Elephas maximus indicus: one gene and its partners. The protein of the gene in region 4 interacts with the protein of the main gene of each other region in a pairwise test. Links are inferred from orthologs where the notes say so. Each region holds a gene or a part of one and is shown on either strand. Other genes may lie near its edges. The genes, in order: PPFIA4, RGS2, LAMTOR5 and GIT1.

Region 1 (7,862 bases), on a different chromosome or scaffold from region 4:
ATACACACCAAATCCTTTAAGAGCAATACAGAGTGGCTTGTGACCAGACACTCACCCCTGGCACAGCCTGGGGTCAGTGCTGAGCCTAACCTGGAGTAGGACCAACTGAATGAACCGGCGACAGTTTCTCCTCCAGCTCTCTCAGAATGGAGTGGCCCAGCCAAGGCCTTTCAGCCCCTGACTCCTGAAGGCAGGAAGCTGCACTAGAAGTGACTTCATCTGGGAGACTAGAAGACACTTGAGGGAGGTGCAGGGGCTGCAGGAGCCAAGCCTCTCAGAAAGCAGAGCAGTGAGCTAGGCAGGAGTCCTGCTTCACGCATGGCTGGTGAACGAGGGGCTTGGCGAGCAGGGGCTCCTTAGGCCCTGCCCGGCCCTGGAGTTCTGGACCATAGCGGATCACAGCGTCTTCCCCCATAGCTTCTTCCCCCCACCAGCTCTGTGTACTCTGTGTACTCTGAGTTCCCTCAGGCCCCTCCCAGGACAGGAAGTGCTGGAGGTCCCCTAAAAGCAGCCCTGCTCGGAGTATGCTGAGTACCACAGCACCTCAGAGTATTCTTTGCTCCGCCAGCCACCTATAGTGCCACACTTGTGCAAGCCAGCACCACATGCCCTCCAGAGCTAATTATAGGTCAATGAGATAGCAGGTCAGAGTGGGGGACAGATGGTGACTTCATGTGGCTGCAATACACACTTGCCCCTCCCTCCTCTGATCGCACTCCCTTCTCTCCTATTCTCCCAGCTCTGTACCTGGGACCCAGACTCTGAGGCAGCTTTCATTCCCTCAGGCCTGCCACTCCCCACCAACTCCCCCTCTCCAGTACTCGGAGCACATGCACACGCACACACCACACACAACACACACAAACATCCATGCCAGTCACCACACCTTGTTTCTATGGCAACCTATCCACCAGACCCAACACATTTGGCCTAAAGCCCCAGGGAGAGTATCCCTGGCATAAAAATGTCTCGGCTAGCTCCCCCATATCTTAAAGGCCCCTCAGCACAGCACCCAGTTCCCTGGCCCCACTGAACTTTCACCCCTGCCTCATCATCACCACAGCCTGACTCCTCATCCTCTCCCCAAGCTCCAGCCCTGCTTTCTTCCTTGGAGGACCCACAAACAATCCCTGACAACTCTTTCTAAGATTTCAGCAGTCAACTTAGAGGGTGACCCAGGAACCTGGCCACCTGCCCTGCCTGGCCCTGCCCCTCCAAGCCCTCCTGACAACCCAGCTGCCCGAGAGCAGACACGCCACACTCTGACATCATGAGACTGCTCAGCAGCACGCACTCAGACACCACTGGATGAGCTTTCCTGTCCACGCCCTCTCCCCCACGCTCTGCCATCTCCCGGAGATGGCAACTCCTCCATGCGGGGTTCCAGCGCATTCTTGGCCCCCAATAACCCTGGAGCTTAGTCAACATCGCATTCCTTTGAGATACCATTTATCCAGCCTCCTCAGGCCTCAGGACAAAACCCTTGAAAATAACCAAGGGAAAATCACTCCAACTGTCCTTTTTGCCAAAGCGCCTCCCCTGGGACTACCTGGCCAGTTAAGAGTGGTGTGAAAGGTGAGCTGGAATCCAGTTCAGACAACTGTTTGACAGCATGCAGACAGGCTCTGTCTTTCTTTTTCCAATCCAGCAGTGATGTAAAAAATTGTGTGCTGCGGGGGATGTTACACACAGGGGTACCTAATATGGGGTACCTTTCAGTTGCCCCATGCCCCTAAATTGCCTTCAGAAGACCCAGCACCTAATACTGTCTGGCATATAGCAGGTGCCCATTAAAAGTTTGCTAGATGCTAAGCAAAGTTCTAAGTGCCAGTTCCAACAACTCTACAAAGGACTGAAGGCAGTCCCTGCAACCTGGCTCCTGGAGGGGCCCCTTTAAGCCCACACCAGTTGGGGATCTCCATGCTAAGCAGGGCCTCCTCCTTAACCACCTGCTCCCCACACAGAGCAGCAAAACTGCAGCCCAACTCCTCTACCGCTCTAATGGACACTACCAGCACACCGCTCCTCAAAGATGACATCAGCACCTAGTGGCACCTTGTCCTGGATCCCTCCTCCCTCCCAAAGAAAACCACCCACACCACATCTCCAAGTCCTCCAACCCGGCCTCTCTCTTCCCACCCACCATCAAAACCGGCAGGATCCGGACCGGAAAACATCCCTGCTGCGTGGCTTAAAGTAAGCTGCCCACTCCCACTCTTCCCGTTCAGGAATCTCTCTGCCAGCCCCTTTTTCCTGTTGCGCCCACCCCCACTCCCACCAGGCCTCAGGTTGGCCACTCCTTTCACCCCACCGCTCTGGCACTGCGGAGATAGGGCATCTCTGGCAGCGTCCGAGATCGGCAGTTCCAGGAACGGAGAGCTAGAGACAGTAAACAGGGGGTGTTATGAGAAACGAGGTAATGATTAAGACCCCCGGGAGGCGCGAAGACCTCAGCCCCCAGCGTACCCAAAGGAGCGGAACCGGTTTAGGAGCTCAGAGGCGCTTTTCTCTGGCTCTCCTGGAGAGGAAAAGGAGGCGCAGTCCACCCAGTTCCCATAGGGAGACTCGCCAACTCAGCCCCCTTCCCCGAAGCTGATGGAGCTGCGGGCAAACTCCACGCCCTCCCCGCAAATCGGGCATCGCCCCCATTCTCACACCCAAGGGCACAGGGCACTGCAAAGGCCGAGGAGGGACCGCGGAGGGAGCAGTAGCGATACCTCCAAAGATGACACATCGAAGTCAAAGGGGCTGTTCCCCAAGGCGCTCAAGACAGGGACCCCTACCCAAACTATCGGGGGAGAGGGCTGGAGGTGGGAAAATGAGGCAGCCTTTCCCCAAACCCAGGCTCTGGGTGCTCACCTGCCTGTAATCACCGAAGGCCGGGCAGCGCGGCACGGCGGCAGCGGGGAGCCGCCCCCGACCGGGGGAGCCGGACACGTCCTGGAGAGCAGAGCTGGCGCCCAGCTATCTGCAGCCTCCGCCGCCGGAGCGCTCGGCCCCGAGGCCCCGCCCCTCCCACGCCATAGGCCAAGGCCCCACCCCGAGGCCACGCCTCCTGCCCCGGGCGCTTCCCGGCCCGGCACGTGACCAGAGCGCGCCTTGGACGACGCTCGCCATGTTGGTGAGGCCTTGGGCGTCCCTACAAAGTGGGGGCGAGCCAGCGTCTGACCCAGCAGGAATAGGAACCCGGACCCAGTATCCTTCCCCGTGAAGCTGCGGCCCTGGGGGCGACACACATCTCATCCCTCCTGTGGAAGTCACCCGTCCCTAATCAACCACTGGTTTGACCCTGGCCTTGTAATTGTTGCCAGTGGTTTGTCACCTTTCAAATCTGCTCTCTTGCCCGCCCATTTTTTCAGTGGAGAAGCTTGAAATTCTGATAAATTTCTGTAGTAGGCACTTCCGTGAATTGTGCTGCTTGCCTTCAGGAACCTGGCTCTTCTAACACTGTTACTATAAAACGAAGTGTTTGTCTATCATACATACATAGTATGAAGAGTCTCAAATGCCGAAATTCCTGGCTGACATATTTTGGCTAAACCTCTCCATCTTCCTGAATTATTCCTTACCCTGTCCCCTGGAGCTATTAATGCATCTTTTGCGTCTGGTTTGTGAAAATTCATCACAGTGCCTACTCAAATCCTTTAAGACTATCCAGTAAGCACTGCTAGAAGTGTGAAGATTTTTATGTGTGCAATGAGTAGCTATGTATTTATAGATGTATACACATTTTTGTATCAGCAGCAGATACTGTAATTGCAATCAGTGACACACTGAGCCTTGCTTTCATTTATTTATTTTTTTTCCTTTCCCCCAAAATATTCACCTTTTGGCTTAGTTTCCTTGCATCTTTGGAAGGAGGCAGGTAAGTCTGCATAATTCTGATTTATTTGGGGGATGAAAAGTGAGGCTAAATTTGTGTTATTTGACTTGTCTGACCCACAGAGCAAAATCTCAATATATATATAAGGAAGTGAAAATTATAAAGCCATTTTTAACCTGTAATCCAGAAGTTCCAACTCTTCTCCAGGTGGTCTGTGGTTCTCACCAAAAGGAAATCCCTGAGACATTTCACATCCTTTTTACTAATAAATGTGAATCATCCTCAGTCTAGAAAAGGTAAGTCAGCCAATGCAGAGGGAAGACTGAAGCCACAATAGCCATCATTGGTAAGACACTTCACCAAGCACTGTCGATATTGTGCTCAGAGGACGGCGAAGGCAGTAGCTAATATTTTATCTATCATCTTACCATGGAGTTTGACACAAAAACCCAGAAGTTGAGTCAGAACACAATTATTAAGTCAGATTTATTTCACTTCCTTTTTAAAGGTAACTCCTAAATGGGGGACATACAATCCACTGGGACAACTCCCTCCCGTTTCATGGATCTTCAGTTCAGGAGCTAGGGGCTCTGTGCTTCTCTCCTCCTGTCTCAAAGAGGCAACTTTGGATTGTAGACTTGCAAGGTGCTTGCTGCCCCCTTAGGTTTTTTGGTTCCTTTTTAGCATTTAAATGCCCAAATGCTGTTTTTCACCGACCCAGACTCACTTTCTGTGTGAACAGCTTTAGTACCACCCTCAGTGAGGGGTAAGCTTAGTTGTAGCTGGTGACCAGCAGCAGTATTAAGCAGATGCTTCCTAAGAATACTCTTTAAATAGCTAGGGGTAGAGAGACTGGTAAGGAAAAAACAACATCCAGATTTGGTAGTCTGGCTCACACTAACAACTACCCCCAGAAGAAGAACACCATCTTAATGCCCAGCTCACTGGTTAACTGGCGGGGGCGGCGGGGGGGGGGGGGGGGGTGCGGCGCAGGGAGAGCAAACAGCCAGGTTATCTTCTTAAAAAAGCCTCCCATGACCAGCTTCTCAGAGTGCACCACCTACAGTAAGTCCTTCGATCACCCGGAGGACATCAGCATTTCTGCAGGGACAAGAGGCCAGGCCGCTGTGGGCACACAGGACGGCAGCAGAGGCAGCACAGTGCAGTGCGGAGTGAAGGACAGTCACTAACTGCTTATGGTTCAGGAGGCTGGAGTCTACATGGGATGTGTTTTTTCAAATGCCCTTCAGCCTAATAAATGCCTTTCTAACAATTCGGTTCCTTCCTGCAGTAACTTTCCTGGTTTGTTCTACATTTTAATTAAAAAGAAACACATATTTACAAGTCTCCTTCATCAATCTTATATATACCTCTCAAGCTGATTAGGGATAAGGTATACCACAATCCCAGTTTTACATACCCTTTTACTTTTTTTAAATCTACATTGCCGCCTCCCTTTTACCACCATCTGTCACAAGAAAAATGAGACTGATCTTTTTCATTGTGGTGGAGCAAAAGGAACATATACAGACCTGGGTCAGGATCCTGGCCCTGCCATTTACCTGCTGTATGGCCTCGGGTAAGTTCACTGATTCAGTTTCCTCACCCGTAAAATAGACCAGTATCACCTACCTTGCAGGGTGGTAAGAATTATTACAGAGCTATTATGTAAAGTTCCTAGCACAATACCGAGGGCACAAAGTCACTATCATCACTACTATCAACCTCATGCAAAAAATATCTAAAATCCAAAACAGGCAAAAGGACATTTACACATAAATATCCAAAAATTATTATTAAAAAACACACACACACACACACACACACACAGAAGTCAATCTTATAAGATTCTGAAAACCCTGTCACCTACTTTATTTCTGGAGAAGGGTACAGGGAGAAGAGAAAGTATTCAATTGGATTTGAGGGGCAGCTAAACTGGAAGCAACAGCAGCAACAATTTTAGGCCTCTCAGGTTCCTCTGATCCGTAAGGGAATGCTGCCACTTCCCTGTTTAGAGAGTCAAGAATTTAATTTTCCCCTAAAGCAAGACCATCCATTTTCACTGGGATAAAAGAATAAAGAACAACAAACTCAATAGCACCAAATGGGATTTTAACGCAAAAAATAGGGCCAGGTTTCTCCTCTCAAATGCAAATTTTACATGAAGGTATGTTTATAAATCATTTTCCTCTTGACTCAACCCCTCTCCCTCCCCTAACAGAGCGTGCCACTAACCAGATATACAATCCAGCTGCCAAAGTGGAATCTGCTTTCTAATGGTCTGGCCTAGCCCAGGGCAGGCCCCAGGGAGCTGTAACTAGGCTCTCAGGGAGAACGGATACTGAGGGTGCCACCAGTCAAAGAGCCGAACGCTGTGCACTGGGTCAAGGATGACTTGCACACCCTGTTCACTGCGCAGTTTCCGACCACCGTGGACAGGAGAATCCTGGAACACCAATCTCACGCGATGGTGCCGCATGTCCGTGCTCACGTTGATAGTAAACTGAGAGGGAAAAGCAAATTAAACAACCTTGGTCTCCTATGGCTCACTCTGAAACAAGACATTCCAGACATCATTTACACTAGACAAAATTAATCTCTGGATTATAATACCAACACCTTTGAAAATATATAAAAATTTAATGTGGTTTTTATAAATTCTTCTCAGCGTCACATATTTAAAGAAAGTCCCATAAAAGGTTGAATAAACTGAGATATATCCACATAGACTATCGTTAAAGGCAATTTTTAAAAATGGAGTTAGAGCTTTAAGAGATGACTTGAATGGATTTTGATTATTATTGAGCAAGTCAAACAAGATGCATGTAAGTATGTACAACCTGATTTCATTTTTTTGGGAAAATAAACCACGAAATCCCTAAATATGCATGTCAATATACAGGTCTGTCTAGGATTATGAGTATGGAGTGCAAGGAATATGTACATATATAACTAGGTTGTTAATGTGGCTTAACCTAGAAGAAGGGACAGGGATCTACAATAAAAACTGCATGTATGACACCATCCCAGTTATGCATAATTATTTAAGAGGGTATATACATATATAACAGATACATTAGAGAACAGTACCCAAAAGGTTAACTGCACTTACAGGGTAGGGAGGTTTAAGTTACCTTTAGTATCTTTATATATTATTTAAATCCTTTGTAAGAAGTATGCATTATTTATTTTACCAGGAATAAAGTTTTTCATTGTGGAGAGGGAACCCTGTATATCACTGAACATACGCCTAAAATAGAGAAGACATATTACATGAACTCTTCAATTGCCAATCCGTTAAAATGTTTAAGAATCTGGAAAATATGCCAGAGACATACATGTTGTTTACTAATCTAATTCTTAGGTAAGCCTTGAATAGTTAGAGCATCACATAAGGGCCAAAGGTGGCCACCCTATATTTGAATATTCCATTTATGACACTATGTGCATGCCCCACGGTCCTGTCATACACTGCTCAGTATAAGCCTTGTCATCACCCCGAAAGGGACAATGTTTCCCATTCATTAACAATCACTAACGTGAAAATGCAAAAACATTCTCCTTCAGAAAAAACACTGCTATAGAGAAGGAAAGAAGGGTAAAATTTTCTCAGGTATCATTAACTTCTCCATAAATCTGTTCATAATATACAAATCTGATATCAGACTTTTTTTATGATTCTTCAAAGATTTCTTCACTGCACAAAGCTAGGAACCCTGGTGGTGCAGCAGTTAAGCAATCAGCTGCTAACCACAAGGTCTGCAGTTCGAACCCACCAGCCGCTCTGAGAGAGAACAATGGGACAGTCTGCTTCCGTAAAAATTACAGCCGTGAAAACCCTATGGGGCAGTTCTACTCTGTACTATAGAGTTGGTATGAGTTGAAATTGACTCAATGGCAATGGGTTTCTTTTTTTTTTTTATTGATGTAAGAGTTGAGGCTGACACCCTGAGTCCCCACTTACCAGGGTAAATATCATTCCCATGACAATTGGAATAAAGATGAAATTGAGGGTGGTGACCTGCAGCAGGCAGCAGTC
Region 2 (7,017 bases), on a different chromosome or scaffold from region 4:
ATTAATTTTTTTTTTCTATATGTCGCTATGAGTCAGAATCAACTTGATGGCCAACAGGTCTGGGTTTATAATGCATGTCAAGTATTATGTTTAAACTCTTATTAACTCCTAAAAAAAAAAAACAAAAAAAACACAAACTTTCTCTTTAATCAGCTTCCGGGTATACAAATTGCATTCTAAGGAAAATATTAATCATGAATTTTGAAGCTTTGTGCATATGAGGTGTTGGGGTGGGGTACAGAATCTTGTATCACCATATGTTCATGCTTCAGTTGGTAAAAAACATTATGAACTAAAGCTAAATTAGACAAGAAAAAAAGGACAGGTGTGTCACACTTCCTCAAATATGATCCACAACTAGGTAATAACCATTTTCACTTTTTCCAATTACTCATCACACCATTCGCCACTCAGGGTTTAGTTTCCTAGGTGTTTTGTTTTTTGGTTTGTTTGGTTTTTTTTTTAACTTTCCAGACTTCAGATTTCATGAGGTAAGGAACAAGTTTATAATCTTCACAAATTCAAGAACTAAGATATCTTACTGACTGAGAAAAACAAAGCCCAGAGTAATACCCGCAGCGCCGTCACCACGGTATGATTTTTTTGTGTGTTTAAAAAAAAAAGTATATATCAGGATTCCTAAATTTTCAAAGCATGAATCTGAGAGCTATTTTGCATAAATACTTTTAGTTAATCATTAATAATGATTTTTGGTTAGTAATAGTTAGCATAAGGAACCCTGGTGGTGCAACGGTTAAGCACTCATCCACTAAATGAAAGGGTGGTTTGAACCCACCAGACACACTGCAAGAGAAAAGACCTAGTGATCTGCTCCCGGAAAGACTACAGCCTAGGAAACCCTATGGGGCAGTTCTACTCCGTCCTGTAGGGGTGCTACAAGTCAGAAGCCACTTGAGAGCACACAACAACGAGCAGGAGGGTAAGAGTGGAATATGGCACGGGAGACTTCTGCTTTTCATATTTCCCTTTGGTAATGCTAGAAACTTTTGTTTTTTGCTTGTCCCTTTCTGTAACTTAAAGTTTTTAAATATTACAGAAAGTTTAAGATCCACCCTCAGAACCCGCCTGTGTTCAGAGAACCTCTCCAGCAGAGGGCATGGTAGATTCAACAGAGAAAATGTGTGGTCCATCAGCCACTCTCAACCTGTGGTTTTGCTGTGCAATTTTTACAGCCTATTGCATTGTTTCTTCCTCCACCACATAATGGAAAATGTGTATCATCTTCATATTGAGCAATCCCGTTTACCTAAAAGCCAGTTGTAACAAAACAACACAAAAGGGAAGTCAATCAATGCTGTAAGCTTTCCCTTTAAATACAGCAGTAATGCCTGCCAGTCTTTACAAAAGTCATTAACGTTAACATGGCAACTATTTTCACAAAAAGATTTCTTCGTCTGTAATAGGTATTGGATTAATCCTTAAAATTACCCATAGATTCAAAATGATAAACCGTATTTACATTCAGAATTAGCAAACAAGTTCTAAAAGTCCTAATTTTCAGGGAAAAAAATTAATTTTCACTCATTTAACATAAGCTGTCGATCTGAAAAGGGTTTATGGAAAACGCAAATAATTGAACACTTTTTAAAACCTATGTTAGTCTATATTTAAACAACTATTTGCACACATGGATTTTGCATACATTCACTTTTATGAATATATTGTGATGATTTAATTTCTCTGGCTTTGAAATCTCTGAAAAGTTCAAATGTTAATTATTTTACTTATTTTTCTGTTATATCCGGGGAGCATTTATTAAGTATTTATTATCAGCTGGATACTTTATAAATCTCTGAGGCATTATACTGATGTTTTAGTAGTACTTATGCATGTATGAAACCCTGGTGGCATAGTGGTTAAGTGCTATCACTGCTAACCAAAAGGTTGGCAGTTCAAATCCACCAGCTGCTCCTTGGAAACCCTTTGGGGCAGTTCTACTCTGTCCAATAGGGTCACTATGAGTCACAGTCATCTCAACAACAATGGATTTGGGTTTTTTTGGTTATGCATTTATAGCCTAATTAACTCTGAGTTAATCATTCTATGATTTTTTTTTCAACTTGAATAGCTGTACTTCTGAACATTTCCTTTTCTACATACATACAAGTTAATAATAAACTTTTCCATAGTGCTTTAGAATTTACAAAGGAATTTCCCATGAGACTGGCAAGAAAGACACATTATTCTCATTATTGGTGAGAAACTGGGGATCAAGGTGTAAGCTGAGACTCTCATTAGGTCTCCTGACACCAAGTCCAGCTCTCTCTCCCTGCTGCCTTTTTTTTCAGAACTCCTGAGTTATCTATGAGTGAATAGTAATGGGAATTTCACCATGCAAGGTTCGAAATGATAAGTGAGAAAAAGCAGGTGTCCTGCATATTGTACATATTTAATAAATAAGTATTGACTCATCAGAAAGTGAAAAAAACATACAGCAAACACCATGCAGTTCCTGCACAGATGAAGACTATATGCTTGAGCGAAATTAGTCTTACATTTCACAAACATATTTTAAAGTCTTTTTTTTTTTTTTTTTACTGAAATCTAAATTACTTGTTTCCATAATAAAGTACATGACTGTTCTCTTCAGTAGTAATTGCAGATTTTCCTCTCCAAGTCAAAGCTGGAGCTCCAACTACTGGCAGCTCAGCATAAAAACATGGTAACTAGTCCCAGTGTTACAGGCCTGCGTCGGAATTGCTTCAACAGCAACGGGTTTGGTTTATTGGCTTTTTAATGGTTAGTGTAAAATAGGGAGAATATTTGCAACCCAATCAATATCTTGCTGTAAAGCTTACTGTCTAATTAGAGGTTTGATGGGGAAACCATTTGAATATTCCACTGTTAGGTTCTGGCAATGCTGTTCTCTAAAATCAAATCATTTTGTAGCTAAAGTAATGTTTGTCCTCACCCATCAAGTCACTTGAAAGCTTGCAGGAGGGGACAGATGATTTCTGGAAAATCAACAACTTATTTAAGCAAAGTGTTAACTTTTCTGCTACTTTTTGCCAGTTAAGTATTCTGGTAAACTCTAAACCAACTAAGGATGACTCACGAAGAAATCATCCATTCCCACGTTCTTAAACTAGAATGATTCCAGTACATTCCATCTGCTAAGTGTGGCGTTTTCCCTCTCCTTCCTCTCTCACGCACATACACAATGGCGAGATCTGTGATTTCTGTTGTGGATGGAGAAGAAGCCAGGAAATCCTGAGGACGGACCCTATAGGCCAAGCCACAAGTCTAGAGGTGAAGATCACAAAGTAAACCCAGTTAAAACGCTGTCTTCTGAAAGAGTCATTTTCTCCTGTTCCTCACCTGACGAATGTTCGTTCCCCTAAGTATTCCAAGATGCCCAAACCCCAGCCAGCACACCTGCCCCGGGGCTGTCACCGTTTCCTCCCCCGGCTGAAGCAGAATCGCAGGAGAGGACCGAGCGAGGGTCTCCGGGCGGCCCCGGTTTACTTTACAGACCAAGGGTCTCGGGCGAGTCGGTACAGCAGGACCAGGACTGTAAGCCAGAAACGAGGCGCGGGCAGGGGGATGGCCAATCCATGTTAACTGGAAATAAGGCGATTGCACTCGAGTTTGCAGCAAAGCACCTTTTCCTGATGGGGAAACATCGCCCCTCTCGGGGATCCAGGGGCACGTCAGGGTGGGTGCGGGGAGAAGGCGCGCCGCGCCGGGCCTGCGGCTAATTCGGCCCCCCGCCCTCGCCGGAGGCGGCAGAGCCCATCCGGCCGGCCCCGCGCCTGGGCACAGGTCGCCGGCAACGGCTCCCGGGAAAGGTCCGGGTCGCGTTGCGGCCCGAGCGCGCGCTCGGCCGGGCAACGCCAGCATCGGCTGCGCCCTGGCTCCCGAGACCCTTCGTGGGCGGCCGTGACCGCGCTCGCACCGCCCCCGGGCCCCGTACACGGCCAGTCCTCGCCCTCCGGGGCGGGGCTGGTGCGGGCGGCCCTCCCCATCGGGTCCTGGCCTCCTATAAAGGCCGCGGCGCCCCCGCCAGCCAGCAGCCGCTGCCGGTGTGGGGAGAGGATGATGCGAGGTTCCATGTTCCTGGCTGTCCAGCACGAGTACTGTGGTCCAGTGGACAAGAGCGCAGGCAGTGGCGCCAAGAGCGAGGAAAAGCGGGAGAAGATGAAGCTAACCCTGTGAGTACGGTCTTCTCCAGCCTCCCGCCCTTGCCCCTGCGGAGCTAGCTCCCCCGGTCTGCTGCAAACGCGGTGGGCTCGGTCTCGGCCTCGGCTGCAGGAAACTGGGTAGTTCGGGTCTCCACAGGCGGGAAAAGGGTGGAAAAGGTTAATCTGGCAAATTAAGGTTAAATATGTTTTTTGGTATTTTTTTGGCGGGGGTAGAGTTTTATTTTGTTACGTGACCGAAGGACGATCCGTTAGAGTTTAGGAACTGAGGAATATTCTACATGTGGTGTCTGGGGACGGCGGTAGATGCGCTAAGATATTGCGGGTTGACTTTTTGTTCCCCTGCATTTAAAATGCCATCAGAGAATCCTGCGGCTGAAGCATGTCCCCTGCAGTCGTGCGTTGCATTGAGTTCTGATCAGCTTACACAGCTGCAGGGCTGAAGCTGTGTGTGCTGGTTCTGAATAGAAATCCAGTCTTGTTTTTAGTAGAAGAGTAGATCTCACTCATTGAGACTGCGGAACAGATTATTGCTCTGCAGCATTTGCTCAAAATGAGCGTCGTCGTTGGGGGGTGGAGGGGCGTGGAGATAGTCACACGCACCTCACTGTGTGCAGCCTCTGGCGTTGTCCAGAGCCTCCTGCTTTCACGGTGAAACCCAGTGCCGTCGAGGAAAATGAACATCCCCAGCCGGAGGCGATTTCATCAAGCGTGAAACAACCGTAGTTGTAATTCGCCTTGTAGAGAAACCTGCTGCCTTTGGAACAACACAAATTTAATTCGTTTAAATACTTGAGTGGTTTTAGATAGTCTTGCCGATAGTTATAAAACTGCTAGTTACTCTCACGTAAATGAATGAAGCTAATTGTGTATTCAGTACATTACATTAAAAGGGTGAGACTTGTCTCACTTGGAGAGTTCCTGTTTGATTTTATTTGGTTTGTCTGTAGCTCCTGGGAGACTTTATTTGGAAAAAAAAAATGCATTCGGCTGCAGTAGCTGCATTTTCAAGCATTGCCACTTAGTAAATGGCCTTTTTTTTTTTTTTTTAAGGTTAAAAGATTGGAAGGCCCGTTTGAGCTACTTCTTACAAAATTCCTCCACTCCTGGGAAGCCCAAAACCAGCAAGAAAAGCAAACAGCAAACTTTTATCAAGTAAGTTGAAAACCCTGTACTTGGTAATAGGAGCTGCTAGCTGCTGGACCAAAAAGGGAAGTTCTGGTGCACATAAGCTAATCTACAGAACCTCTCTTGCAGGCCATCTCCTGAGGAAGCACAGCTGTGGTCAGAAGCGTTTGATGAGCTGCTAGCCAGTAAATGTAAGTTACACTCTTGAGTTTGATCCATTTCAGGTGGTTCAGGAGTTCACTAAGGTTAGGTCCACCCAACAGAAGAGCAGCTGGCCTGAGGGGAATGGGACTTAAATTATAGTCACTATAGCATAAGACCTATTTTTCTGTCCCTTATTTTCCAGTGTTTAACCATGGAAATGCATATATTATTCACTCCAGGTGGAGAAGAAAAATTAGCCTAAAAAAATTAAAGTGACAGTTGCTATTAGCAAAGATTAAGTCAGCTTTTCCATTGCAGTGTTTTCAAAAGGCTTAGTTCCCAGAGAATTTATGGCTTCCCTCTAAATACTTATTTTGTATTGACAGCAAAATTAAGTTTGCATATTTTTTTTTTTTTTACCAGTGTGCCAATTTAAGCAGCTTGCCTACTGGCATCTTAGCTTTTAAATTTTAAAGAGGGAAATTCTGAGGATTGTAGGTACGAGTGAAATCTAGAAAATTACCATCATTTAGAAATAATTACAGTGCGGGTACGCACTAGGAAAAATATCACATCTGCATGCCCTTTTTTCTTTCAGATGGTCTTGCTGCATTCAGGGCTTTTTTAAAATCTGAATTCTGTGAAGAAAATATTGAATTCTGGCTGGCCTGTGAAGATTTCAAAAAAACCAAGTCACCCCAAAAGCTGTCCTCAAAAGCAAGGAAAATATATACTGACTTCATAGAAAAGGAAGCTCCAAAAGAGGTAAAGAAAAAAAAAAAATTCATCTCAGTACATTTTTGAACATCCTTAGCACCAAAGTGAAATAAGAGTTGAAGAGACTCCAAATTAAAAGAGTGGGTGAGGGGTGGTAAGAGGATCCTCCCACCCAGCCCAACCCCATTCTGTCTTTCAATGGAGTTTTTCCAGTGACTGCTTGGTGAAGCTAATTTTTAAAAAAGCTAATTTTTTGTTTTTGTTTTCATGTATTAAATAGATTTCAATCTCTGTACTTACCAATACTCAGTAAAATATTTTTCTGTTTTATTTCAGATAAACATAGACTTTCAAACCAAAACTCTAATTGCCCAAAATATACAAGAGGCTACAAGTGGTTGCTTTACAACTGCACAGAAAAGAGTATACAGCTTGATGGAGAACAACGCTTATCCCCGCTTCTTGGAGTCAGAATTCTACCAGGACTTGTGTAAAAAGCCACAGATCACCACAGTGCCCCATGCTACATGAGATGAAAAAAGGAGCCCATGAAAGGAGAATATTTCTTTTCTTTCCCCCCTAAGGAGAAAGGCTGTGACCTGCCAAGAAAACAAAAGACTGACCTTGAATTCAGCCTGGGTGTTCAGGAACTATCACTCATAATAATTATTGATTCAAAGTTGGATAGTGACTCAGAAAGCCAGTGACAGTCTAGGAGAAGCTTGTATCAGGATGGCTTCCATCACTGTGTAGAGGACACAGGGAAGGAATCATGGTCTGGACATGGTGTGTCTCATGCTGGAGAAGCAGGAATGTGAGATGGAAGATAACAACGTAATGTTATTGGTCCAGAAGCATTTAAAATCAG
Region 3 (7,094 bases), on a different chromosome or scaffold from region 4:
CCAGCCTTTGGGTTAGCAGCCATAGCACTTAACCACTATGTCACCAGGGTTTCTGGCACATGGCATACATTCAATAAACAGTAATTGTCATTATCTGGGTTCCTTCTAGACCCAAATTAAAACTATTCAAATACTATTTTAGGAGAGACAAACCTATTCTTTTTTTTAAATTGTGCTTTAGGTGACAGTTTATAGCTCAAGTTAGTTTCTCATACAAAAATCTATACACAGATTGTTATATGACCCCAGTTGCTATCCCTATAACGTGACAGCACACTCCTCCTTTTCACCCTGGATTGCCCATGTCCATTCAACCAGCTCCTATCCCTTTCTGCCTTCTCATCTTGCCTCCAGACAGGAGCTGCCCATATAAAAAAAAACTTGTGTATCTACTTGAACTAAGAAACACACTCTTCTCAAGTATCATTTTATATTTTATAGTCCAGTCTTATTTTTGTCTGAAGAGCTGGCTTCGGGAATGGTTTTAGTTCTGGGTTAACAGAGAGTCCAGGGGCCATGTTTTCTGGGGTTCCTCCAGTCTCAGTCAGACCATTACGTCTGGTCTTTTTACTGGAATTTGAGTTCTGCACCCCACTATTCTCCTACTTTGCCAGGGACTCTCTGTTGTGTTCCCTGTCAGGGCGGTCATTGCTGGTAGCCATGTATCATCTAATTCTTCTGGTCTCAGGCTGATAGAGTCTCTGGTTTATGTGGCCCGTTCTGTCTCTTGGGCTAATATTTTCCTTGTGTCTTCAGTGTTCTTCATTCTCCTTTGGTCCAGGTAGGTTGGGACCAATTGATGCATCTTAGATGGCCACTCGCTAGCTTTCAAGACCCCAAGTGCCACTCACTGAAGTGGGATACAGAACATTTTAATAAACTTTCTTATGACAATTGACCTAGATGTCCCCTGAAACCATGGTCCCCAGACTCCTGCCCCTGCTACTGTGCCCCCGGAAGTGTTTGGTTGTGTTCAGAAAACCTTACCTTTTGATTTAGTCCAATTGTGCTGACTTCCCCTGTATTATGTGTTGTCCTTCCCTTAACCTAAAATAATTCTTGAGTAGAGACAAGTATTTAATGGCAGAACTTCAAGGACCAATTTTACTTTCATAAATACCAATTAAAAAATTTCAACTTTCTAATCTTGTGATTTGGAGATTATCTTTACTCTCACCAAACTACCCAGAAAAGGTAAGAAACAAAACAAGAAATAAATGCTACAGAATAATAGCACACTAGGCTCCAAGTCAACATCAAATGCTTTGCAATTCACCAAAGGGTTGGTGTGAGATACTTACAACCCAGATTAAGTCCTTGTGAATCTGTGCACAGGACTCCAACAATGGACGGGTTCTTCATTCTAGTTCCAGAATCACAGGAAGGATGAAACATATGATGTGAGAACATGAATTTAAATAACTAATTTAAGACATACAGGCTTCCTATGTGCCAGGCACTGTTGTAAGTGCTTAAAATTGGTGTTTCTCAACTTAAGAAGAAAAATTATTATCCAGCCCTCACAACCCTACCTCAAGGAGAAAAATTAGGTTAAATTAAAATGAATTATGAGGCACTGGTGGTTCACTGGTGGAATTCTCATATCCCATGTAGGAGACCCAGGTTCAACTCCCAGCCCATGCACCTCGAGGGCAGTCACCAGCTGTCTGTCAGCAGAGACTTGCATGTTGCTGTGATGCTGAACAGGTTTCAGCAGAGCGTCCAGACTAAGATGGACTAGTAAGAAAAGTCTGGCGATCTATTTCTGAAAATCTGCCAGTGAAACCCTATGGAACGCAATGGAACCAATCAGCAACTGATTATGGGGATGGTGTAGGACCACACGGCAGTTTTGTTCCTTCATGCATGGGGTCCGCCTGCAGCTAACAACAACCAAAAAAAAAAAAAAAAGCCAAACTCATTGCCGTTGAGTGGATTCTGTGACTCATAAAAATTAAAAATTAATTTAAATGAACTTCTCTGTAATGAAAGTTTTTTTTCACTCCTGTTAAAAAGGCATGCTTTAATACATTAATTCATCTAAAACAACTGTTGAAAAACTATTATGTTTTAAATAACAAGGTCTAAGCAACCATGTTAACATGGGTTGCCTCCTGGAGAGGAAGTGGGAAGCTGCGGAACATTGATGGGTGGAACATGTTTATAAGCTTTCTTATGCCTTTCCATTTGAAGCTCCCATACACACAGCAGTTATCCTCTAGTGGACTGACTCATGGCGACCGTATGTGGGCCAGAGTAGAACTGTGCTCCACACGGTTTTCAATGGCTGATTTTTCAGAAGTAGATCACCAGGTCTTTCTTCCTAGGCATCGCTGGGTGGACTCGAACCTCTAACCTTTTTGTTAGCAGCCCAGCACGTTAATGTTTGCACCACCCAGGGACTCTGAATCTCACACAGATGCTACCTATTCGAAAAAATGAAGAGATGTCTCTTAGCTTCTTCAGCACAAAGTTACTGATTAGGTACGCAATCACTAGGAGACACCTGCGTGTGTCTATATTTCAGGACTCGATTTTGCTCACGTTGTACATCCTTATCAAAAGTGAAATCTATTTCCTAAAGCTCCTGTAAGAACGACCCTGGACATAGTACAATTTCAACAACATGACAGCTGATTTTGGCCTCCGGCTTGAACCCCGGAGACTCGCTCCGGGGCGGGATGTACGGCGGGGGACTGGGAAATATTAATTCCGGGTTACCAGCCCCGCCCCTAAGTCCCGGGGCAAGGTCTCACGGCCTCATCCTTTGTCCAGGGCTTCGCGCGGCTTCCCCAAAACGCCCTGATCGGCACTCGCAGCTCACGCCCTTTGTTCTACTCCAGCCGCCCTCGCCACGACTTCATAACAGGCCGAAGAGGCCCCCACTACTCACGTGTCCTCCAAGTGCTGCTCCAAGGTCGTCTCCATCCCATCCGCCGTCAGCCCCCGGCCTAGGACCTCGGAGCACGTCGCTTCCTTCTCTACTACAGGCTTTAAGCACCCCGCAGTCACATGACACAAGCTGAGCCCGGATCTGGATGGTGCCTCCAAAGGGTCAAAATTGATGGCGGCGCGTCGTCTGCGTTCTTAATCCGAAGTTGCTATTCTATTCCTGCCGTCCTGAGTGGTGACAGGCGTGGTGACCCCGGAGCGTCTCCCCTCGGGAACCGTGCGGGTCGATTTATCCTCTATCCGGGAGAGAGGTCAAGAGCCGGACCTCAGTGCCTCGGTTTCTTGGCCTTTGTCTCAGTGATTTTTAATTTTTGGATGACGGTTCGATAGACTCCGAGACCCACTAAGGACCGGATCTAGTTTAACTTTCACAGTAACCCGGCCAGTCAGTCAGGGTCTGATCTAGTCGGTGGGGCCGGTACGGGGAAGAGAGACCGCTGTGAAAAGGCCACAGGCGTGTAGGGGAAAGACATGCGCTCAAGGGACTGAAGGACGAGATGGAACCGGGGTAAAACCCCAAGCTGGGTACTGCTAAAGGGTCTGCGTTTTAATGAAGACATCAATACTTCTGATGGGAGGGCGTGGAAAAGTTTGGGAAGGAAAGTGGTATCTGAGTCCTAACTCGTGAAGAAGACTGTGAAGGGCTACTTAACAGTAACTTAAAAATTTTTAATTATAAAAGTAGTTGTAAAAAAAGAAAAGGCAAGGAAATCACCCATAGTCTCACTATTAATCCCATGAAGAATATTTTTTTCAGACGTTTGTCTTTGCAAATGCATATTTTATTTATTTCAAACAAAATTGACATACGTACTGGACATACAATTCTGTAGCTAGCCCTTTTGACTGAATTTAGCATAAATTTTTGTCATGTCAATTTGCATTCATTTACATAGTTTCTAATAGTTGTAAAATATTCCATGGTATAAACCAAACCAAACCCAGTGCCATCGAGTCAATTCCGACTCAAAGCGACCCTATAGGATAGAGTAGAACTGCCCCATAGAGTTTCCAAGGAATGCCTGGCGAATTCGAACCGCCGACCCTTTGGTTAGCAGCCATAGCACTTAATCACTAGGCCACCAGTGTTCCCATAGCTGTACCTTAATTTAATTAATGTACAGTGAGGCTGCCTATAGCTGTGGGTGTATGCGTTTTGGCTATCCTAACGCTGAGCGAGTATCCCTGTAAGCCTCTACCCACTCCTGTTCTTAACGTCCTCCTCGCTCTACTTTTCCTCCAACTATCTCATTAGAAAATGTAAGTAGTGACTACTTGAAGTTAAGCTTGTGCCAATTGAACTCAGGAAGCCCGTCTGCTTCCTGTCCAAGGCGTGCTCAGAGAAGCGCCTCTCTGCAGTACCGCCCCCTTGTGGTCCCATGCTTTGTGACAACTTAGCTGGTCTAAACCCAAAACCAAACCAAGCCCATTGCTGCTGAGTCGAGGGCTTCTCAAAACCCCTCAGAAAACCAAAACCCCTTGCCCCCTAGTGGATTCCGACTCCTAGCGACCATATAAAACAGAGCAGAACTGCCCCACAGGGTTTCTAAGAGCGGCTGGTGGATTCAAACTGCAGACCTTTTGGTTAGCATTCTTAACCACTGCACCACCAGGGTTCTAAGGGCTCTGATTTTTAAACCCCAGAGCAGTGCAGTCTAACAGAAATATAATGTGAGCCACACATGTAATCCTAAATGTTCTGGTAGCCACATTAAAGAAAGTAAAACGTGAAATTAATTTTAATAATCTATTTACTTAGTATATGCAAAATATGATCACTTAAACATGTAATTGACATAAAATATGAATATTTTTCATTATTTTTTTTGTACTAGATATGGTGTATATTTTACATTTTACATTTACAGCATATCAGTAGCCACAGGTAGGTTAGTGGCTACCATATTGGCCAGCACAGCTCCAGGGTGTCTCTGATGATCTCAGAGCCAGATGAATAATTAAAGAATTCCCAGAAAGGCTGGTGATCACTTTTAAGCTGTAGGGAAGGCCTTTGGAGGGAAAATGAGAAAGTAGGAAGAGGGACAATAGCTGGTCCATACATCCTTGCCACACTGAAGGGGGAGGACAGGGCGCTCCACACACCCTCCTCTGCCCTGCTGCTCTTCTGCTCCTGAGCAGGTAGACAGAGAAAACAGAACAGCTGACATAAGCTGGGGAGGAGGTATCTGACCCCTAATTGTTTTCTACCTTTTTTTTTTTTGGCTTGTGGGATATTTGATGATTCTTTATTCTCAGTTTTGAGTGCTGGTAATCATTTCTGGGGTGACAGGAAAAGTCCCATGACACCTTGTTATGAATTTGAGATACTTACTTAAAACGGAGTTACATGGGCACTGGATGATAAGTCTTGGTTCAACAAGAGACCACACAGAGGAACTAAAAATAACAAGCTTAGTACTCACAGGTCTTGGGGGGAAGGACACATAGGGTGGTTGTGTCAGGGGCAGAGGGAGAGCAGGAACCTGGGGTTCAGGCCTTTATTAGGGCCTGAGGGTGGGGTACATTAAGGTTTCTGAGCTTCTGTTGGATTGGTCAGGTTGAAGCAAAAGAGTGGAGTCTTGGGGAGGCTGGTGGGGATCTGATCTAAAAGGGAGCAGGAGGGGAGTTGTGGGGAGTTGTTGGTCACACGGGCTGCTGGGGAAGCCATATCAGGAGCTGGCATGAAAGGGCAGAGTAAGTCAGCCAGCTTGTTGTTCTATGCTGGACACGATGGATGCCAGGGCAGCAACTGAAATGGAGTGTTAGCAAAACTCATGACAGCCCACCCTGTGATGCCTCAGCATCGGGTATTAAAATTACATTTATAACTTGAGTGGCCGAAATACTGAAAGACATTAGTATAGCTTTTTATAGCCATTGTAGGGTGCACGTAATCAGAGCAATGAGCAGGATAAATAGGCTTGCAATAATCTGGAAGCCAGTTTGTAGCCATTGGCCCCATGTAGATGGGGAAAGCCATGAAAACAGGTTTGAAACCATGGAAAGTAAGGATTTGTTGGAATATTTTTGTTGTATTGTGCATAACCTTACTATGTTGAGATATTCCCTTGAGTAGTGTGGCCACTTGCCCTGTGTTATTGATGTACATACAGCACAAAGTGCCTTGAGTGGAACACACTCCTACTTGACTGGCCAGTAGGTAATCTAGGGCTAGTCAGTTATTAATCATTTCTGAGCCAGGGAGTTATGCCCTTGCATGGTCAGTCCTAGTATTTTGGGTTTTTTTTTTTTTTCCATGTATGCCATTGGAGTTTGGGACATTTCTTGATTAGCTTTGATAATTAGTGATTTGGTTGCTAAAGCAGCTACTCCAGTAGCTGTTCGCACTACTCCTAGGATGATGACCATTCTGACAATGATAGGTACAAATATAAGCCAAAACCAAACCCACTGTCATCAAGTCAATAACCGACTCATTGCAACCCTGTAGGACAGAGTAGAACCACCCCATAGAGTTTCCAAGGAGTGCCTGGTGCATTCAAACTGCCAACCTTTTGGTTAGCAGCCTTTGCTCTTAACCACTATGCCACCAGGGTTTCCAGTACAAATATAGCTCATCTATAAACCCCTTGCTGTTGAGTCAATTCCGGCTCATAGAAACCCGATAGGACAGAGTGGAACTGCCCCACAGGGTTTCCAAGGAGTGGCTGGTGGATTTGAACTGCCAATCTTTGGGCTAGCAGCTGAACGTTTAACCACTGCCCCACCAGCTCACCTATGGCAGGGCTCATATGTTGGGGGGTAGCCCCAAGGTATGGGAAAACTTGAATAGGAAGGCCAAGGGTCATTGGTGTACAGTGTACCAGGTGCATGTAACTGGGGAAAGACAAGCTGAAATATAATAGTGCCTCTCCTCTGATGTTGGGGCCACAATAGATTGCCAAGGTGATGTTAGCCAAGGCATACTATTCTTTAGCTTGTACCCAGATATAATCAAGGCAGAGGTTTGGGAGGATGGCTGTTGTGGGCCAGATGACGTTTTTGGAGGGACAGATGTGGACGGACAACATAACAGTTCGTGTGGAAATTTCAAAGTCCTGCAACACCTTGATTTTGCCAGGATAGGTGCAGTTGTAATTGAGGGGAACTGAGTGGAACAGACTTAATGGCATGCGTGGCTG
Region 4 (7,111 bases):
CATCTTCATCTCTGTGTCCAGGGCTGCCATAGTGGAAAGGTCAAGATGATTGGCCCATGGGTCAGGAGTAGGCCCCTGAGAGCCGGGCTGGGGCTGTGTGGCACAGTAGGTGGAGGAGGAGGAATGGGGAACACTTCCCAACCCCTGCCCCTCTTGCGGAGTCTCAAGGGCAGGCAGGGATGTGCCTGGCAAGAGAGCAGCCATGCCATGTTCAGCTGCTTTGCCACATATTCACGCTGGTCCCCTGTGCCCAGAACTGAAAGCAGAGGAAGGACAGGTCCTTTAGGCTGTACCTCATCTTTCACCTCCATGCCCCCTAAAATTAGCCAACCACAAAAAGACTACCACCCCACTCCCAGGCTGGACTGCAGGACTCCTATCACATTGATGAGTCTGTGACCCTGGGCGGGAAGTGCACAACCAAGGCTTGGCCCTGGGCCTGGACTCCAGATTGCCGGGTATCCTTAGCTCTTACCTGGGCTGCTATGGTACCTGGAGAATACCCTCCATGCCAGGACTAATGTTGTACAGTGGGAGTACGGGATAGTCCCAAGCAGCCAGCCCGGGTCCTGACAAGCATCCAAACACCTGGGGAGTGCCTGCTATGTGCCAGACACCATAGTAGGTGCCAAGGTGCGGTGGTAAGACTGGCAGCACTCTGCCCACCTCACCATCCTCACTTTCTCATCACCTGCCTCTTCCTGACCTATATTCTGGTTCAGGGGGAAAGGAGGTACCTGGGGCACAAATATTTCTGTCAGGGACAAGGACTGAGGACACACCAGCTTCCCACCACTCCTCCCCAGCCTACTGGGCACCCAGAGACTTCAGGCAAGTACTCAGATGCAATGGAGAAAGGACAACTGCATTGCTGACGCTGCCCTCCGTCCCTCTGCCCCAGGGTCAGGACCGCAGACTTGGAGATGGGTTGTTATTAGTTGCCACTGAGTTGGCTCCTACTCGTGGCAACGTTACGCACGGCAGAAAAAAAAGTTGCTCAGTCCTGAATCATCTCCATGATCTTTCATGTGTTTGAGCCCATTACTAAGATTATTGTGTTGATCCATCCTGTTGAGAAATTTCTGGAGATGGGAGGACCCTCAAAAACTATTTCTAGTCAAATTTCTTTGCCTTACAGCTGAAGAAACTGAGGCCCAGAGTGACGGAAGTCTAGTCAAGGGTTACAGAGTAAGCTGGAAACAAAGGCAACTCTAAAATCCAGGCTCCCCTTAAGGGTCACCACTAAGCTCCCCACAGTGCTTCTTGGTGCCCCACACTATGCCCACCCAGTAGAGATGGCAAATAGCCTGGGACAAACAAAAGACAAGCTCTCCTCTTAGCCCTTCCATCCCTCAATCTGCCCGCAGCTGGGGGGAAGGGGTTATAGTTTTCAGTCAAAAAAGGGCAATGGCACCCTACCCGATAGCTCCTCCAGGGCCCTCCAGACTATTACATTCCCCCAGAGGAGGCCTCAGGGTCATAAGCACCCACAAAGCCCTCATGCCTGTGCCCTGACAGGCATGCACCATTTCTAAACACTCTAGCTTGGTGCAACGGGAACCACCAGAACATCTGTGGGGCTCAACCTGTTGGGGTCCCACCCAAGGGGTGGCTGGAAGTTACGAGCACACAGAACATCATCTCACACCCACACCCTGAATTGTGCCTGCTGTCACCCTGGAGTTCAGAGACTCCTGAGTCTTCTCAGGAAGACAGCTCCTTTTCTAAAGAGAACGGACAAGTGTCAGGGCTTCCTTCCCCGGGCTAGCTGCTGAGCTCCAGCACAAGCACATCAGAAAGGAGCAGCTTCTGAGGTCACTGCCCCTCACTTCCTCAGGAGGCCAGGGGGGTTCACACTAGCCAGAACCCAACTCTGCTGGGAAGGGAAACACCTCAGTATACACAGCCAGGAAGCAGGCCAGGAAGCCAACCTGATTCTGGGAATTTGGCACCCCTTGCCACTGCCCCCTACCTGATCCTGGTCAGATCCTGACTAGGGGGCTGGGAGGGGTCTGTGCCCAGGCCGGGACAGTTCCAAGCCCACCTTCCCAAGTAGGCCTCACTGGTGAGCAGGAAAAGCCGAGTCCAGCTGTTTCCAGTCACCAGCAGACCTACGATGTCTCCAGGGAAGATGCCCAGGCTCGTACTGACCCTGAACACCAGGCCTTACAGGGGGCCCCAGCCTTAGGAGCCAGAGGCAGGGAGCCCTAGGAGTAACCACCCCTCATCTGTTCCTGAGGAAACAGTACCAGGGCCCCACCGCACATCAACCCAGCTCTCTGCCCCTTGCCCTCGCCACCCCGGCGGGAGCGCAGACCATGCGAGCAGCAGGTGCAAGGCGCGGGGGTGGCACTGAGATGACACAAACCACCCTCGCCCTCACCTTCGAAATCCTCCGGGCCTTCGCCACAGCCCTCCTGCCACCCCAGGCTGGAGCTTCCGTTTGGATACTGAGATGGAGGTGTGGGGGGGGGGACAGCTAGCTGCCCGCCTCCCTCAGGCTGAGGGGTGGGAGGAGGCGCCGGGAACGTCCTTCCCCGATTGTCCACGGACGCGAGGGGACAGGGGGCCCCCAGGCCGGCCCACCTGCCAAAGACGCGGCTCCGCAGTGGCCCGGGCGGGGACGAGGCCAGAGGCCGCAGCCCCCCGCCCCACCCTCCGGCCCCGCATGACGCTCCCGCCAGGCCCCGGCGCCCGCCCGGCGGCGGCCTCTGTGCGCGGTCCCGCCCCCGGTCCGCTTACCCAGTGCGCTGCAGTCCGCACACACCTCCGCTCGTGGCCCCTTCCGGGACATCCTCAGCGGCGAGGCGGCCGCAGCCCTCTGGGCCAGCGTGGGGGGCGCGGGCGGCGGGCCCGGGCGGCGGCGGTGGCCCCTGCTGCCTGGCCCGGCTCCCGCAAGGCCCCGGCTAGGCTCCGCGCGCCCGGCCAACCGTTCGCCGCTGGGGCCGGCCCGGAACCCGCGGTGCCCGCCCGCTCGCCCTCGGGCGCCCTCCGCCCCGCGCCGCCCCGCGCCGCCCCGCCGCCGCTCGCCGCTCGCTCTCTCCGCCCCCTACGCGGCTCCGGGCCGCTCCTGCAGGAAGCGGCGCAGGCCCTGCCCACCGGGGGAGGGGCAGCCCACCCCGCCCGCCCCGCCGCGCCTCCCGGAGAAAGGAAGCCGGGAGCGCGGGCGGCAGCGGGCGGGGCCGCTTAAAGGGGCCGCGGTCCCTCGGCCTCGCCTGCGGCCCCCGCATCTGCTCCGGCGGCCCCCAGGCCCAGAGGCAGTCGGTGTGAGTCAACCTCGCAGCCGCATTCCCTACGCTTTTGGGCGGAGGGTGGCCTAGGGACGGTGAGCTGGGTTAGGTTAGGGGCCAGGGAAGAGGGAAGGCCTGGAGGCCGATGCCCCCTCCCGGTCAAAGAGCTGTGGCTTGGCGTACCCGCTCCTCTCAGGTTGGGGTGAGGTGTGCGTCTTGCTGGCCCCCATGTGCCCACGCCAGTGTGCCAGTGTGTATGTGTGGTCATACTCTTGCTGAGTGCACCACCCCCTCCCCCCGCCAACAATATGGACGCCCAGGTGCAAGAGAGGTCAAGCAGTGTATCCCCCTGCCTCCGGGCTAAAAATACCTTTATCACTCCCTCCGTGCTTTCACCCGGAAAGGAATGAATTGGGATGCTTTTAAAGACCTCCCAGGAGGTGACCACTGTGCCTTGTGTGCGGAATAGCCCCTTGTCACCCGTCGTGTATACCTCCATCACAAATGCGTCTAGGGTGTGTGCGTACAACATACACGGACCGTTTCTTGTGACGGTCTTTCTTCCCATACTTGTCACCGAGACATGGCAGGCAGGCCCGAGGGGGGAGGCGGGGGACAGGGAGCCGAGGCGCAGGCCGCACGTGGGCGCAACCCCGCACTGAGCATGCTCCCCGGTACACGTGTGCCCCGCGTGCACCCAGCCCCCAGCCCTGCAGCGGCACAAGGCCAAGGCCCTCGGCTTGTGAGCAGAGGGTCGGGGGTGCGGAGGACCAAACTTGGGGACCAGATCTGCGGTGGCAAGGTTAAGGGAGGGCTTCCCCAGTGGCCGGGCGTTCTCGGTAACCAGGACGGGAAGGGAGCCTTTGAGCAGGCGTGACCGAGTTGGTCGATTTCTCCCAGCGGTGCCCGAGCAGCAGTGACTTGTGGGTGGGCAGGCTGCTTCCCTGGGGGAGACAAGTAATGCTCATGAGTCACACCACCCGAAATACACGCAAAGCTGCCTCCATCGCCTTTCGCTGCAACCCAGATTGACAAGTTTGTTTGAAATCGCGATCCACGGGTATATTTATAATCGCACCTTAAAAAAACCTTCTTGCAGGCCTCTCCTCCCCCCTGCCAGCAGCTCAGCTGCCGGGGCTTTCTGTAAGCAAAGATACCTCGCGGGGCTGGAGTGTGTCAGGAGGGGACACCACCTGCCGCCCCATGCTGCGTCGGCATGGAGGAGTCCGCGGGCTGAGTGGTCCCAGGTCAGGCGGCCGGAGGAGCTGCCTGGCCGCCTGGATCCGGCACGCAGCCCACGAGCGGGGCCCCCTGCTTCACCCCCGATCGACCCTCAGCTAAGAAATTTCATTTATTAAATGTCGAGGTGGCTCCTGGCAGCCGGGCCGCTGGGCTTTGTTTCTCTGGTGTGTGGGTGCGTTTCGAGCACGTGGCAGCCGGAGCGCGCAGGCCAGAGGGAAAGCCGGCCTCAGTTTACTGTCCACGATCGCCTAGAAAAGAGAGCCCGCTGCCCAGGGGGCGGCCCTCCCCGCCCCCCCCCCCCGGCTGATTCCCTTCCTTGGGCTCCAGGGCTCTCCAGGGAAGTAGACTGATTGACCTCGCTTCCCGCCCCATCTCCAGGTTGGCCCGGGGACCACCTGGGAGTGGCCCAGGCACCGATCCACTCTCCAAACTTTGTTTCGGAAACCCCGAGCCCCTGCACAGCCGAGTTTCTGGGATTGGGGTAAGGGAGAAAAGAGTTTCTGGATTTCCCTATGTCACCACTACCCGAAGCAGGGCAACTAAAAGAAAATGAGACACAAGGTTCTTAAAACAATTTAATGAGGAAATGTACAAGAATCCTCACAGCCACTCCTGGCCGCCCCTCCCCGCGGCCTAGCCCCCCTCCCCAGCTCTGGCCGCCGCCACGACACTCTGCTGACCCCTTGTGGCCGAGGTGGGCCGCGGCCTCTGGCGGCCGGAGACGCCAACTGGCTCCTCCCAGGCTGGAGAAGCTGCGAGGCACTGCGCTCCTCCCTCATCTCTTCCCGCCGGGGCCTGGCACCGCAGGGTGTGGAGGAGGGAGAGGAGAGCACACAAAAACCTGAGAGAGGCGCGGAGAGTTTGCAAGCATTTGCTGGCACCTCCCACACAAACACATCTTGGGTTGTTGTTGTTCAAGGTGGGGGGGGGGCTGGCGTGGAATCCCTCATTCCTGCCTTATTCTAAGGTGGGCTCAAGAAGGCACCGTGCCTGGTCCTGCCACCTGTCACAGTCGGCCTGGTTGGCGGAGGGAGGCGCCGTTTTGAGGGCAGTTACTATCCTTAGCTCACCCAAGGAGGTAGTATCCAGAGGCTCATTTTAGAGGTGAGTGGCCTCGTAAACTCAGAAATATTAAGCAATTTGAGTTAGTCTGAATTAGAGCTCAGGTCTTTCTGACATCACAGCCCCGCCTCTCCCGGCCTGGGGCCGAGCCTCCAGGTCCTTCCAGCCCTGACAACAGGCAGCCCCAGAAGCCAATTCCACACTTACCACACCCTCTGCTGGGCCGGTTCTGGAAGGGCCTCTCTGCCCTGGGGTCACCCAGGGAGGAGACAGTCTCTGGAATCGGCTACTTCCTCTCCTGAGGGGACCCCATGGGGTGGGGTGGGGAGCTGCCACCTGCTGCTTTCCCTGCTCAACTCCACTCTAGTCGTAGTTGAGGACAGTGCTGGGGGGGGTGATCTCACCTGAGTGGACATTTTCTTTCCAATGTCAAGTGTGCAAGATGGAGTTGAATGTTCTAAGAAGGCAGGGAGGATTCCTAAGAAAAATCTCAGGTGCCAGACCCCTGGCTGCCCCAATGACCCTTAGTACAGATGCCCTGCACCCTTCTCGGGGATCCTGCATCAGCCGCTCTCTTCTGGGTATCTGGATTCATGCTCACAGTCCCTGGAACCCACGCTCAATCCTGAAGGCCACACACCGCCCTTCCCTCAATGTTCAAGGGAGCTCTGCAGCCCCTCCGACCCCCAACAAAGGGCAAAATCAAGTGGGTGGGGGTGCCCCCAGCCCACCTGGCGTCAGGACGCTGCTCCCGTTTCTGTCAGGCCTGGCTCCTCCCCAGCCCTTTCCTGGGAGCAGGAGGACAGTGTGGTACCCTCCCTGGTCCCCTGCCACCCCCAACTCCACAAGGCAGACTACAAGCCCCATGATGCCGCGGGGCCGGGCTACAACAAGCTCTGCCCTGGGTACCCGGGTCCCCCTCCTCTCTCCTTCGCATCCCCACATCCCTCGCCGGCCGCTGGGGCTGAGGGCCGGGCTATGCGGCTGCGAGGAGCCGGGGGCTGCGGGCGCGCGTCCCTGCGGCGGCGGCGTCCCCGGGGCCGGCGCCCCGTGCGCCCCCGCGCCCGCTGCGGGCGCCTGCTCCCTCCGCCGAGCGGCGTCTTTGTGTGCGGGGGTGTGGGAGGCGAGGCGCGAGCCCGCGCCGCGCAGCCGAGTGCCCGCTCCCTCTCCGGGCGGGTGGGGGCCTCTCCGCGCCTCCTCGCGAGGACGCCCGCCGCCCGCACCGCGCCGGGCGCGCCGCCCCCGCCCGCCGGCGCCGCTCGCACATGCCCGAGCCGCAGCCCTGCGAGCAAGCAGCGCCGGCCCCCCGCCCCGCGGCCCCGGGCCCCGGCTCCGGCGCCGTCCCTCCTCCCGGGCCGGGCGCCGCGGCCCCGGCATGAGGAGCGGGCGATGATCCCCGCCAACGCCTCCGCCAGAAAGGGGCCCGAGGGCAAGTACCCGCTGCACTACCTCGTGTGGTACAACCGCTACCGCGAGCTGGAGAAGGAGGTCCGCGCCGGCCAGGTGAGAGCGCCGTCGGGGCGCTGCGGAGACCCCGCGGCCGGGCACGCCCGCCCGGCGTGAGGAGGGGGCGCGGC

The links.
Region 1: the proteins of GIT1 (region 4) and PPFIA4 interact in a two-hybrid assay, tested with the Homo sapiens proteins (2 studies listed by BioGRID). The link is inferred for Elephas maximus indicus from reciprocal best matches to the Homo sapiens genes GIT1 and PPFIA4.
Region 2: the proteins of GIT1 (region 4) and RGS2 interact in a two-hybrid assay, tested with the Homo sapiens proteins (2 studies listed by BioGRID and IntAct). The link is inferred for Elephas maximus indicus from reciprocal best matches to the Homo sapiens genes GIT1 and RGS2.
Region 3: the proteins of GIT1 (region 4) and LAMTOR5 interact in a two-hybrid assay, tested with the Homo sapiens proteins (2 studies listed by BioGRID and IntAct). The link is inferred for Elephas maximus indicus from reciprocal best matches to the Homo sapiens genes GIT1 and LAMTOR5.

Annotation. Positions count from the first base shown.
Region 1 is NC_064836.1:11,907,109-11,914,970, reverse strand, and holds the start of PPFIA4 (liprin-alpha-4), read right to left. Parts: upstream 3,005-7,862; 5' UTR 2,860-3,004; intron 1-2,859. Other genes in the region: TMEM183A (transmembrane protein 183A), read right to left, coding at 6,141-6,326, 7,788-7,862. UniProt on the Homo sapiens protein: May regulate the disassembly of focal adhesions. May localize receptor-like tyrosine phosphatases type 2A at specific sites on the plasma membrane, possibly regulating their interaction with the extracellular environment and their association with substrates.
Region 2 is NC_064842.1:58,196,103-58,203,119, forward strand, and holds the start of RGS2 (regulator of G-protein signaling 2), read left to right. Parts: upstream 1-4,013; 5' UTR 4,014-4,056; coding exon 4,057-4,172; intron 4,173-5,213; coding exon 5,214-5,315; intron 5,316-5,417; coding exon 5,418-5,479; intron 5,480-6,030; coding exon 6,031-6,197; intron 6,198-6,485; coding exon 6,486-6,680; 3' UTR 6,681-7,017. UniProt on the Homo sapiens protein: Regulates G protein-coupled receptor signaling cascades. Inhibits signal transduction by increasing the GTPase activity of G protein alpha subunits, thereby driving them into their inactive GDP-bound form.
Region 3 is NC_064821.1:170,892,000-170,899,093, reverse strand, and holds the start of LAMTOR5 (ragulator complex protein LAMTOR5), read right to left. Parts: upstream 3,003-7,094; 5' UTR 2,929-3,002; coding exon 2,894-2,928; intron 1,364-2,893; coding exon 1,302-1,363; intron 1-1,301. UniProt on the Homo sapiens protein: As part of the Ragulator complex it is involved in amino acid sensing and activation of mTORC1, a signaling complex promoting cell growth in response to growth factors, energy levels, and amino acids.
Region 4 is NC_064837.1:22,374,786-22,381,896, reverse strand, and holds the start of GIT1 (ARF GTPase-activating protein GIT1), read right to left. Parts: upstream 3,004-7,111; 5' UTR 2,795-3,003; coding exon 2,743-2,794; intron 1-2,742. Other genes in the region: ANKRD13B (ankyrin repeat domain-containing protein 13B), read left to right, coding at 6,924-7,037. UniProt on the Homo sapiens protein: GTPase-activating protein for ADP ribosylation factor family members, including ARF1.